Linked DNA regions of Caenorhabditis elegans. The protein of the gene in region 1 purifies or fractionates together with the protein of each later gene. This does not show direct contact. Each region holds a gene or a part of one and is shown in the gene's direction. Other genes may lie near its edges.

The links.
Region 2: the proteins of dim-1 (region 1) and tct-1 fractionate together in Caenorhabditis elegans (co-fractionation; one large-scale study listed by BioGRID). This does not show direct contact.
Region 3: the proteins of dim-1 (region 1) and rpn-2 fractionate together in Caenorhabditis elegans (co-fractionation; one large-scale study listed by BioGRID). This does not show direct contact.

What each region holds. Positions count from the first base shown.
Region 1 is NC_003284.9:8,056,523-8,060,279, reverse strand, and holds the start of dim-1 (Disorganized muscle protein 1), read left to right. Parts: upstream 1-2,059; 5' UTR 2,060-2,067; coding exon 2,068-2,112; intron 2,113-2,395; coding exon 2,396-2,453; intron 2,454-2,500; coding exon 2,501-2,578; intron 2,579-2,649; coding exon 2,650-2,703; intron 2,704-2,750; coding exon 2,751-3,286; intron 3,287-3,757.
Region 2 is NC_003279.8:10,567,454-10,570,625, forward strand, and holds tct-1 (Translationally-controlled tumor protein homolog), read left to right. Parts: upstream 1-1,658; 5' UTR 1,659-1,680; coding exon 1,681-1,708; exon of another isoform or gene 1,709-1,959; intron 1,960-1,963; coding exon 1,964-2,481; 3' UTR 2,482-2,582; downstream 2,583-3,172. Other genes in the region: rplp-0 (Large ribosomal subunit protein uL10), read left to right, coding at 481-625, 672-997, 1,043-1,510; F25H2.12 (Methyltransferase domain-containing protein), read left to right, coding at 2,630-2,764, 2,804-2,989, 3,036-3,165. UniProt on the Caenorhabditis elegans protein: Involved in calcium binding and microtubule stabilization.
Region 3 is NC_003281.10:6,197,420-6,201,176, forward strand, and holds the start of rpn-2 (26S proteasome non-ATPase regulatory subunit 1), read left to right. Parts: upstream 1-1,760; 5' UTR 1,761-1,766; coding exon 1,767-1,821; intron 1,822-1,871; coding exon 1,872-2,399; intron 2,400-2,445; coding exon 2,446-2,576; intron 2,577-2,626; coding exon 2,627-3,757. Other genes in the region: C23G10.7 (putative tRNA (uracil-O(2)-)-methyltransferase), read right to left, coding at 11-106, 157-319, 363-579, 628-856, 902-988. UniProt on the Caenorhabditis elegans protein: Acts as a regulatory subunit of the 26 proteasome which is involved in the ATP-dependent degradation of ubiquitinated proteins.

The sequences.
Region 1 (3,757 bases):
ATGAATGTATTTATAACTTTTATCGGCTGCTTTTTCCGATTATGTCTTCGGCTGCACTCAGTTTGTTATTACGAGCCATCTGTGCTCAAGGTCGATAAGGTCAACTTTCTCGAAAATACGTTTCCCCTGTCCTCATTGACATCTTTCCCCCTCTCGTGTCTCCTACTTTTCACCCTTTCACCAAATATCGATCAAGTCGATTTTCAACGGGTTCTCCAGGCAGGTGGCTAGTACGTACAGTTTAGAATTGAATAGTGATGTCGTTTCGTCTCGTAGTGTTGAACTCTGGCGTTGTCTAATTCTCTTCTCCGCAACGCATCTCTAGCTTGCACGGCGACGGTCACCCACGATGCTGGGTCGCAAAAGACCTCTGGTCACCCTTCCCGTTACCGCCGATGGTGATCTAATAGTTATCGAAAAAATGAAAGTATTGGATTTTTAGGTATTGTTGCTAGCACAACTGTATTTGTCGATATTGTTGTTTTTTAATTCTCAATTGGGAGCAACAAAATTTTTTACAAAGTATACTCATGTTTCAATATCGGTTCTTGAGTGATTGGTGATAATTAAATCTCATTTAGAAATTCTGATTGAATTTTTTTCCGGTATGTGATTTTTTATTAATATCCTGAAAAATCGGCGAACTTATGTTCAAATAATATAGTTTTTAGTTTAATGTCCCGGCATACTTGTTTGTTAGTTTACGTTTACCATCCAACCTTTAAGCACCTTTTCTAAGGTTTTTCTTACCCGGCGATGGTCACCCACGATGCCGGTCACCAAAGATGCCAGGTAGCAAAGGATCCCTAGTCACCCTTCCCGTTACCGTCGACGGTAATCTCATAGTTATCGAAAAATGAAAGTATTGGATGTTTTGCATGCTGGCTACCCAACTGTACTTGTCGATATATTCTAAAAGTTGTTTTCTCATTGTAATTTGAATGCAACCGATTTTATTACGACCGATTCCAATCCTTTAAATTTTTTTGAAAACTTTTAATGTCTTGTTTTATTAGAATTAGTATTTTTATTTCATTTCAAAATAAAAGCTGTTGAACATTTTTCAACATCACTATCTAATTTTCAAATTACAAGGACCGGCAAGTAAGTTAAATTTTTTTCAAATTTTGGTTAATAGCTAAGTAGCATTAAAAGTTTTAAATCGAAAATGTTTTCAGTTGTTGATAATGTTTGATTTATCTGAAAACTTTACTTTAATGCACAGAAGTAGTGTTCCCATTTGCGAATTCAAATACTCCAAGTAGTTCGAATGTTATAGCTTATTTGTTTATCAGTTTATGTTTAATCCCAATTCATCAAACACATTTTTGTGCGTTTTTTTTTACACGGCGACGGTCGCCCACGATGTCGGTCATCCTCGATGCCGGTCACCCACAATTCCAGGTTGCAAAAGACCCCTAGTCACCCTTCCCGTTACCGCCGACAATGATCTCATAGTTATCGAAAAGAAAGAAAATATCGGATTTTAGGCCTAACACCACATGTGTACACGCCGATATCATTTAGTTTTTTTGTGGTCAGTTTTATCACGAAGGTGCTTCAAAAATTGATCAATTCATAATTATGATAACCTTCAATTTATGACTTTTATGAAATTAGTTGGTTTTGATTACAGAGATGAGAAAATGGTTTTTCAATGAAAGTTCTCACTTAACAATATACATTCTAAAACTATGCCAATTGTTCAAACCAAAACAAAATTGCAAGTCAGTTAAACTTGACTTTAATTATTGACAACAATTAGGTAGATTTCAAAAAGCCAAATCAAATTATTGTTTCATTATTTCAATGGTTAAAAAAACTCGCCTTAAAAGTTTTGTTTTGTCTGAAAACCACAAAGTCATCTGTTCCCGTTTACCTACAATACTTACTTACTTACTAAACTTTTCATTCACTTTTTGTTTATTTAACTTTTTGTGTATCAGTTTTTGTTTACTTTCCGTCCATCAAGCTTTTTTTTCCTCACTCATCCTTTATTTCAATTCTCGTCCTTTTTTCTATAATTAACAACACAAATCTTAATTTTTTCAGTTTAACTCCATAAGAATGGCATCGTTAGCACCATTCTTTAAAATTTCCGACTCCATCTTGGTAAGTGTCAAAACTTTTGTAAAATTTCAACGTTTCGATGCAATATTTGCTATTCTAATAACTTGGTGTTTTCACTTAACACAAGTCTTTACACTTTTAATAAGAACCGATAATCACAGTGAGATGTGCAGTGTTACCACTTATTGAGTAGTATCCTTGTGCAAACACCCCCACGACATATTGCGTACATTCCCGATTCAGAAATTTCTGGCTTATAAGGAAGCAATAACTCTAATTAATTTTAAAAAAAAAGAATAAAACGCTAAATATTATATATACTCAGGCTGATGAAAGTTTCGACGATCTGGAAATCAATAATCATTTTAAATGCACTAGCAAAGGTAAGTAAAGTGTTTTTGTCAATTATCTTATAATTTTTCAACTTCAGATCTAAATGAATACCCAAGAACTTCAACCCCATTGCCTGGAGAGATAACATCAATTTACAGCTTACCCAGATCATATAGTAGGTGTTAATGGATACGATTTGTATTTTTTTAAAGACAAAATTCAAATATGATAAAATTAACTTTTCAGATAATCAAAACCTTTGTACAAGAAGTAAACCAACAACATTCATTTCACAAAATCGTATGTTCGATTACGTTAAAAAATGTTTCTATTATTCATTTTTTCAGAACAAAAAGGAATGACGGAAAAACCGAAGCATTCTGAATATTTTTTAAGACTGATGAAAACACGCCAAGAAATGCAGAAAAAATTAACTGCGAAAAATGGTTCAAACAAAAGTGTGCAGCAATATTTGAGAAAGTTACCGCCCAGTACGAGCAAAGAAGTGACGATAATACCAGTGAAAATGAAACCTGATGACAATTCAGTTTATATTTCTAAAGAATTAAGTGACAGGACTGACACAAAACTACCGAAAGTTTCAACAAAAGAGGTAGAAAAATTTGGAGAGCAGTCAGATGATGAAGAGAGGCATGAGAGGTCTCATATCGCATCGGATTTTAATCAGAAGACCCCGCAATCAACGCATGCAACGAGTAACCATAGGAAGAGAATTTTCATAGGGAGGACAGGTGCTAAGCAACAGCATGTTAGTAAAAAAGCCACAGAGAGTGAATTACCTTATAATATCGACGTGTCAACCTCCAACACGACAAATGCAACCGAGGCTCTCAAACTGTTAAAAAGGCCACTTCTGTTACCAGTGAGTTTTAAAACTTACAAATTTAACTAACAGTTAGTTTAGTGACATAAAAATTAATAAAAGTTAGTGAAAAAGTAAAACATGACCGACTTTCTATGAATTTCAAACATAATATTTCCAACTAAAACCAAGAAGAACCAATAAACTGTAAAATAAAATAAAATGTAAAGTTTTTACTAAACATAACGATTTAACAAAAAAATAAAAATAAAACTTCAGTTGTTATATGTTTTCAAGATAATTTTTGAAAGAGTTCTTATTGTTGGAAAATTATTAGTAACTTTCCTTATAGAGAACATTTCATATTTAAAAACCAATAAAACATTCAAATCGTCACTGAAACATAAATTGGCAAAAAAGTAGGCAATTTCTATTTGAATTAACACCCATCAGCCAGTTTTTTTTTCAAATTTTTTCACCGTGTTTTACACAGCTTTGCATGAAATTTTTAAAGCTAAAATGTATAATCTT
Region 2 (3,172 bases), on another chromosome or scaffold:
AAATGTAGAAGTATATACACCGATTTTCTGATTTTGACATCACCGGACTCGAATATTTTAATTGGTGTTGAAATTAATCAATAATTTCTCTGTTTTTTATTTAGAAATATCATGATTTGGAGGTTTTCCCTCCACTTTCAACAAAATTAATGATAATTCTGGTGTCGATTTACGAGAAAAGTTAAAGGCGCATGGCTGCTGCCGCCTTGAGGGTCTCGTGACGAAACACATTTTCTGTTGTTGAGAGGCGAAACATTCAGTGTTCCTAAAATTTTTTCACTGTTTTTCCTTTTCCTTGTTGAAAATGTGATCGATTTTTTCAAAATTTGATTAATTTATATTCAAAAATGTGAATCCGTTCAATTCTGTTGCACTAAAACCACCGATTTTCAAAATTGTACATTTTCAGACCTCAGTTTTAATATAATTTATTTTTTCAGTCTTTAAAACGTAACCGCACGCGATCCTTAATTCACCAAGATGGTTAGGGAAGACAGATCTACTTGGAAGGCTAACTACTTCACCAAGCTTGTCGAGCTTTTCGAGGAATACCCAAAATGCCTTCTCGTCGGCGTTGACAACGTTGGATCCAAGCAAATGCAAGAGATTCGTCAAGCCATGAGAGGTTACTATTTTTAATATTCTCAATTCCTTTAAATCGTAATTTTCAGGACATGCTGAGATCCTTATGGGAAAGAACACCATGATCCGTAAGGCTCTTCGTGGACACCTCGGAAAGAATCCATCCCTTGAGAAGTTGTTGCCACACATCGTCGAGAACGTCGGATTCGTTTTCACCAAGGAAGATCTCGGAGAAATCCGCTCCAAGCTTTTGGAAAACCGTAAAGGAGCCCCAGCCAAGGCTGGTGCCATCGCTCCATGCGACGTCAAGCTTCCACCACAGAACACTGGAATGGGACCAGAAAAGACCTCTTTCTTCCAGGCTCTTCAGATCCCAACCAAGATCGCCAGAGGTACCATCGAAATCTTGAACGACGTTAGTTTTCATTTTTAATAGTATATTGTAATGTTTTCATTTTAGGTCCATCTCATCAAGGAAGGAGATAAGGTCGGAGCTTCCGAATCTGCTCTTCTCAACATGTTGGGAGTTACTCCGTTCTCATATGGATTGGTCGTTCGCCAAGTTTACGATGATGGAACCCTCTACACTCCAGAAGTTTTGGACATGACCACCGAGGAGCTCCGCAAGCGTTTCCTTTCTGGAGTTCGCAATGTCGCTTCCGTCTCGTTGGCCGTCAACTACCCAACTCTCGCTTCCGTCGCCCACTCTTTGGCCAACGGACTTCAAAACATGTTGGGAGTTGCTGCCGTCACCGATGTCTCCTTCAAGGAGGCCGAGACCATCAAGGCCTTCATTGCCGACCCAAGCAAGTTCGCTGCTGCTGCTCCAGCTGCCGCCGCTGCCCCAGCTGCTGCTGCTCCAGCCGCCAAGAAGGAAGAGCCAAAGGAGGAATCCGACGACGACATGGGATTCGGTCTCTTCGACTAAATCCACAAGTTGTTCTGAATTTGTTGTTAATGAAATGTTATCTCCAAAAAAAGCGTTTTTAATTACTTTTCTTTGTGGTGTTATCGAACACTTAACTATATCTCTATTTTTTTGTTTCTTGTTTGAATTTTTAATCTCGTAATTTCAGTTACTGGCCCCATCCTTCAAAAATGCTGATCTACAAGGATATTTTCACCGGTAAGATTTCTTTTTCTGAAGAAGTTTTCCACACTCCTTAAGCTAGTTTGACTGTGATTGTGCATTTTAGATCGCTTCATGAGTTCGCTGCGTTTTGCTGTGAATTCATTGTTGCCCTAATTTGTATAGTCATGGGTGTCAAATTGGCGAGTTACGTGTGGTAAATGGATGACGATCAAATTTTGTTCTGTGAACTTTGCCGTAGATGTGATGCTGTTTGTTTATAGATTGATAATGATTGTCGAACAATTTCAGATGATGAGCTCTCGTCCGACTCCTTCCCAATGAAGTTGGTTGATGATCTTGTTTACGAATTCAAGGGAAAGCACGTTGTCCGCAAGGAAGGAGAGATCGTTTTGGCTGGATCCAACCCATCTGCTGAGGAAGGAGCCGAGGATGATGGATCTGACGAGCACGTCGAGCGTGGTATCGATATTGTCCTTAACCACAAGCTCGTTGAGATGAACTGCTACGAGGATGCCAGTATGTTCAAGGCATACATCAAGAAATTCATGAAGAACGTCATCGACCACATGGAGAAGAACAACCGTGATAAGGCTGATGTCGATGCCTTCAAGAAGAAGATTCAAGGATGGGTTGTCAGCCTTCTCGCCAAGGATCGCTTCAAGAACCTCGCCTTCTTCATTGGAGAGAGAGCCGCTGAGGGAGCTGAGAACGGTCAAGTCGCCATCATCGAGTACAGAGATGTTGATGGAACCGAAGTTCCAACCCTTATGCTTGTCAAGGAAGCCATCATCGAGGAGAAGTGCTAAACTTCACTGTTAAATCATTTAATGTTTTCAATGAACTATATATACTCCCCTATCACATATCGATTGCAACAAAAACATAAATTATTGTCTCTAGTACCTTGGTTAGAATGGTTTGGAACAAAAAATGTAATTTTGTAACTTGAGTTTCATGGAAAGTTCCAAATTCGATGAAGTTGTCTCGAAGTATCGGAGGATCTTGAATAGTCGTAGCATCGAATACTTTGCTTCGTCGTCTTGGGATTTGCTTGAAGATGAATGGAGAGAGTACCTGAATCTAGAATCGGTTAGAACAAAAATGTATCTAATCTAAAATTATATTCAGCTTGAAGACGTCATAGTCTTCGTAAATTCATCGGATAATCTTGTGTCAGCTGATTGCGCCTCTATTCCACATTCTCTGAGAGACTTGAAAGCAAATCTTAAACTTTTCGAATACAATAGGAAATGTGTGGAAAATCCTTCAGATCTTTGGCGTCAATGGACAGGAACCACAAGAGATGGGTTAAATGTAGTTATAATCTTGAAATTTTAAAATATAAAATTAACAATTTCAGGCATCTTTCCGTACAATATCGTCGGCGAATGGATTGGTAAGGAAGAGGATTAAAGCGAAGAAACAACACGAAATTGATAGAATTGTGGAATTAATCTCACAAATTCAAATATTCCAGAAAGATTCGGCAGGTATTCA
Region 3 (3,757 bases), on another chromosome or scaffold:
AAAATCTTACTCCGATTTTGTTCAAAAGATGAACAAGAAGACCATTTCCGCATCCAATATCCACGAATTTATTCGGCTTTGGTAGGAGATCAGAATTGACAAGCTCCTAAAAATATTTTGAAAGATGGGAATTTTATTGAAATAGATAAATTTTACATTTATATATGAAGCAATCCCACAATCCTCGAAAATTGATTTTTGTGGATTAGAGTTTTCTGTCCATCCTTTGATCATTCCTCTGCCATAATCCTCTCGAATATGACGATATGTCTTGATGTAGGACTCTTTGTCGAGTAGAGAATTTGTCTTTCGAGATGATCTGCAATAAACGTTTAGACTTTGTTAAATCATAGCGTTCTCACTTTGAAAGATCAATTCCTTTCAACCAAGTGTACAATTGTTTGAATGCTTGTTTCTTCATAAATTCAAAATGTTCTTGAGAGGAATTAGCTTGCTTCAAAAACTGAAGTTGAATGGATGTATCTGTTGGGATTTTAATGGCAATTGAATACGGGCTCTCGAAATGTGGGTGTTGCATTCCATCGAGAGTAATTGGGTAGAATCGTACAAGGAGTTCTTCTGAAAACAAAAACATCATTTCAAAAGAAGACTAACTTCGAAACAAACCTTCATAGTAAGAAACTTCAAACGCATTATCTGAGAATTTATTATTAGCGAGATCCTTGTGTATGATTTTCGTAATAGCTATTTCGCTGCAATCTCTCGGGCAAAATTTGTAATGTGTTTCAAATGTTCTTAAAACTTCATTCCATAAATCTGAATCTGTATCCACTGAAACTGAAGTTGTAATTCTGTTACTGATAGCGTTTGGATATTCCTTCCAAAGACTGATAATCTGAATTTTTCTTTCAATTACAATATTCCAAATTACAATAACTACCTTATCAAAAAACGCTTTTGGATCAATAACCTCTTCGTATTCGGCGATTTGTTCTACAATAACTGTCCATGTTGAACCAGGAAACATAAAACGCCTAAAAACGTAAAATTTTAATTGAATATATTGGTAAACTAGTTTTTCAAAGGAAAAAGAAAATTATTCAATAAACTTTTATTGATTAGTTCGGCCGAAAATATCCAACACGCAGAAAGGTAAGCTTTTCGAAGATATAGAAAGTTCTAGAAAATTCGGAAATGTTCCTCTGAAAACTACAAAAACTAAGTCAGACTGAAACCAATGTCATAACTATGTGCAATGAGCCTTTAATACAGTAACCACCGCATAGCTTTGAGACGATCAGTGAAAAATTAAGCATTAGAGCGGTCAAACTAGACACCAATACACTTTTATCTGATTTTAAAAATTAAAATATGCTATTTTTATCGGAATTGCTGGGAAAAATATTGTCTAAAAATAAGAAAACAACTTTGAAGAAAATGCGCCAACACCCATGTGCTGGCGCAATTATCGATTAGTTGACGCACATCGCGGAGGATGACAATTCTGACCACAGCGGGAAACCGCGAAATTGTCAGCTTTTATCTGAAAATGTATGTGTTTTTGGACGAAATTTGTCATTCGCAATCATTCTTTTCGTTCGGTTCATCCATTGTTGGTGTTTGAGTAATTTTATGATTTTCTAAAACGCCTGATTTATTTTTAGACGTTTTCTAATTTGTCTTTTAAGACGAGAAAGCTGTTTTTCTGATAACCTAGAAAAACATTTTATAATAAACTATGCTTCGCAACTATCTTCTCCTAGCTGCTCTCATTTCGGATTGTTTTTAATTTTGATTTCTTTCAGATGTTGACATTGTTGAACAGATGGAGATCTCAGCCAGGAGGCGCTTCAAACGCAGGTATCAAAACTAATATCTATCAAGAAACGTTGTGAATTGTTCATTTTCAGCCGCATTCATTCGTGTTCTCGAGTCACCGAAATCAGCAGTGACCGACAAAGTGCTCGTTCTCAAAGCATTTAACGATTGGGATGTTCTTGTGAACACATGGTTTGAGGTCGCTGACGCCCTTCCAGCTGTAGAGCAGCTCCTTGACAACAACACGTTCCCAGAGCATTCATCCGCTGCACTGCTCGTCTCCAAAGTTTATTTCTGCTTGGAGCAGTATGAACGTGCTTTGGAGTTTGCTCTTCGTGGTGATTTCAACGTCGTTCCTGCTACAAGAACCGGTCTTGGAAACGACGCAGAATATGTTAACAAGATCATCGAGACGGCCATTGACACGTACAAGACGCTGAGCAAGCAAGGATCTGGAATTCCTCAGAAACTCCGAGATTTGATCGACCGAATTGTTGCTAGAAATCTGGATAAACGAGAGATATGGTTTGTCATCTCGTTAGGATTTGAGACGACCAATCTGGCTATGATCGACAGGGCCATTAGCGCGATGCCTGCAGATTTGACCATCAAGAATCAGAGTAAGTCAATAATAACTAAGCTGAAACGTCATTCTTTTTTGTGCAGCTACACTTGTCGAAACGCTCAACCGTGTTGTCAATGGCGCGTTCGATCGTTCATTCCGATTCCAAGTTATCGATACAGTCATCAAGACGTACTTGAAGTGCCCATCGCCGGACATGTCCAAGATTTGCGAGGTATGATTTATACAAATATCGAAGTAAAATTACAAAATAAACATTTTCAGTGTTACGTGCTCACGGATAACGCCGAGGCCGCTGCTGACACGATTACGAGTTTGATCGCGAAGTCTCTCAGCACTCGTGCATATCAGATCGCATTTGATTTATATGAAACAGCGAGTCAAGGATTCCTCGATCGAGTTTTGAAACGTTTCCAACAGCAGGATGCTCGTGATGAGAAGTCGATGGAAAAGATTCATTCAATTCTCAAAGGTCATGAAACTGTCAAGGCTTACCTCGACTTCTTTGTCCGTCATAATCACACTGATTCTGTTCTAATGGAAGAGATCAAGGAGAACATTCGAACAGCCTCTGCCCACAATGCTCTTCTCATCTCAAATGGTCTTATGCAATATGGAACTACTTGTGACGATTTCCTCCGTAACAACTTGAACTGGGTTTCCAAAGCTACGAACTGGAACAAGTTCAATGCGGTCGCTTCACTTGGACTCATTCATCACGGACAAGAATCGTCTGCAATGAAGGTACTTGAGCCATATTTGCCAAAGGAATCTGTCGAAGGATTTGGATTTAAAGAGGGAGGAGCAATGCTGGCATATGGATTGATTCACGCCAAACACGGAGATGCAACTGCCATGAGCACTCTGGCTCAGTGGCTCAAAACCGCCGAAAACGAGCCAGTGAGACACGGAGCTTGTCTTGGATTTGGAGTTGCTGGACTTGGATCGTCTTCTGTTTCGAATTACGAGAAAGTTCGGGAAGTTCTCCAACGTGATGAAGCAGTTTCCGGAGAATCCGCAGGAATCGCCATGGGCCTTATCATGGCTGGACATCTGAATCAAGAGGTGTTCAATGAGCTCAAGCAATACACTGTTGACACACAGCATGACAAAACTCAACGTGGTATCCGAACTGGACTTGCCTGTGCCGCATTCGGACTCCAAGGAGATGCTGAGCCTTACATCAAAGAAGCAATCGGAGCTAAGAGCAATCCAATGCTCCGTTCCACTGGAATCTGTATGCTGTCGATGGCTTACGCCGGAACCGGATCTCCAGATGTAGTACGCCGTCTTCTCGAGAAAGTAGCCACCGATCCAAATTTGGATGTCAAGAGATACGCTACAATTGGTATCGGATTCGTTCTCTCCAAGGATCCATCAACCTGCTTATCCTAC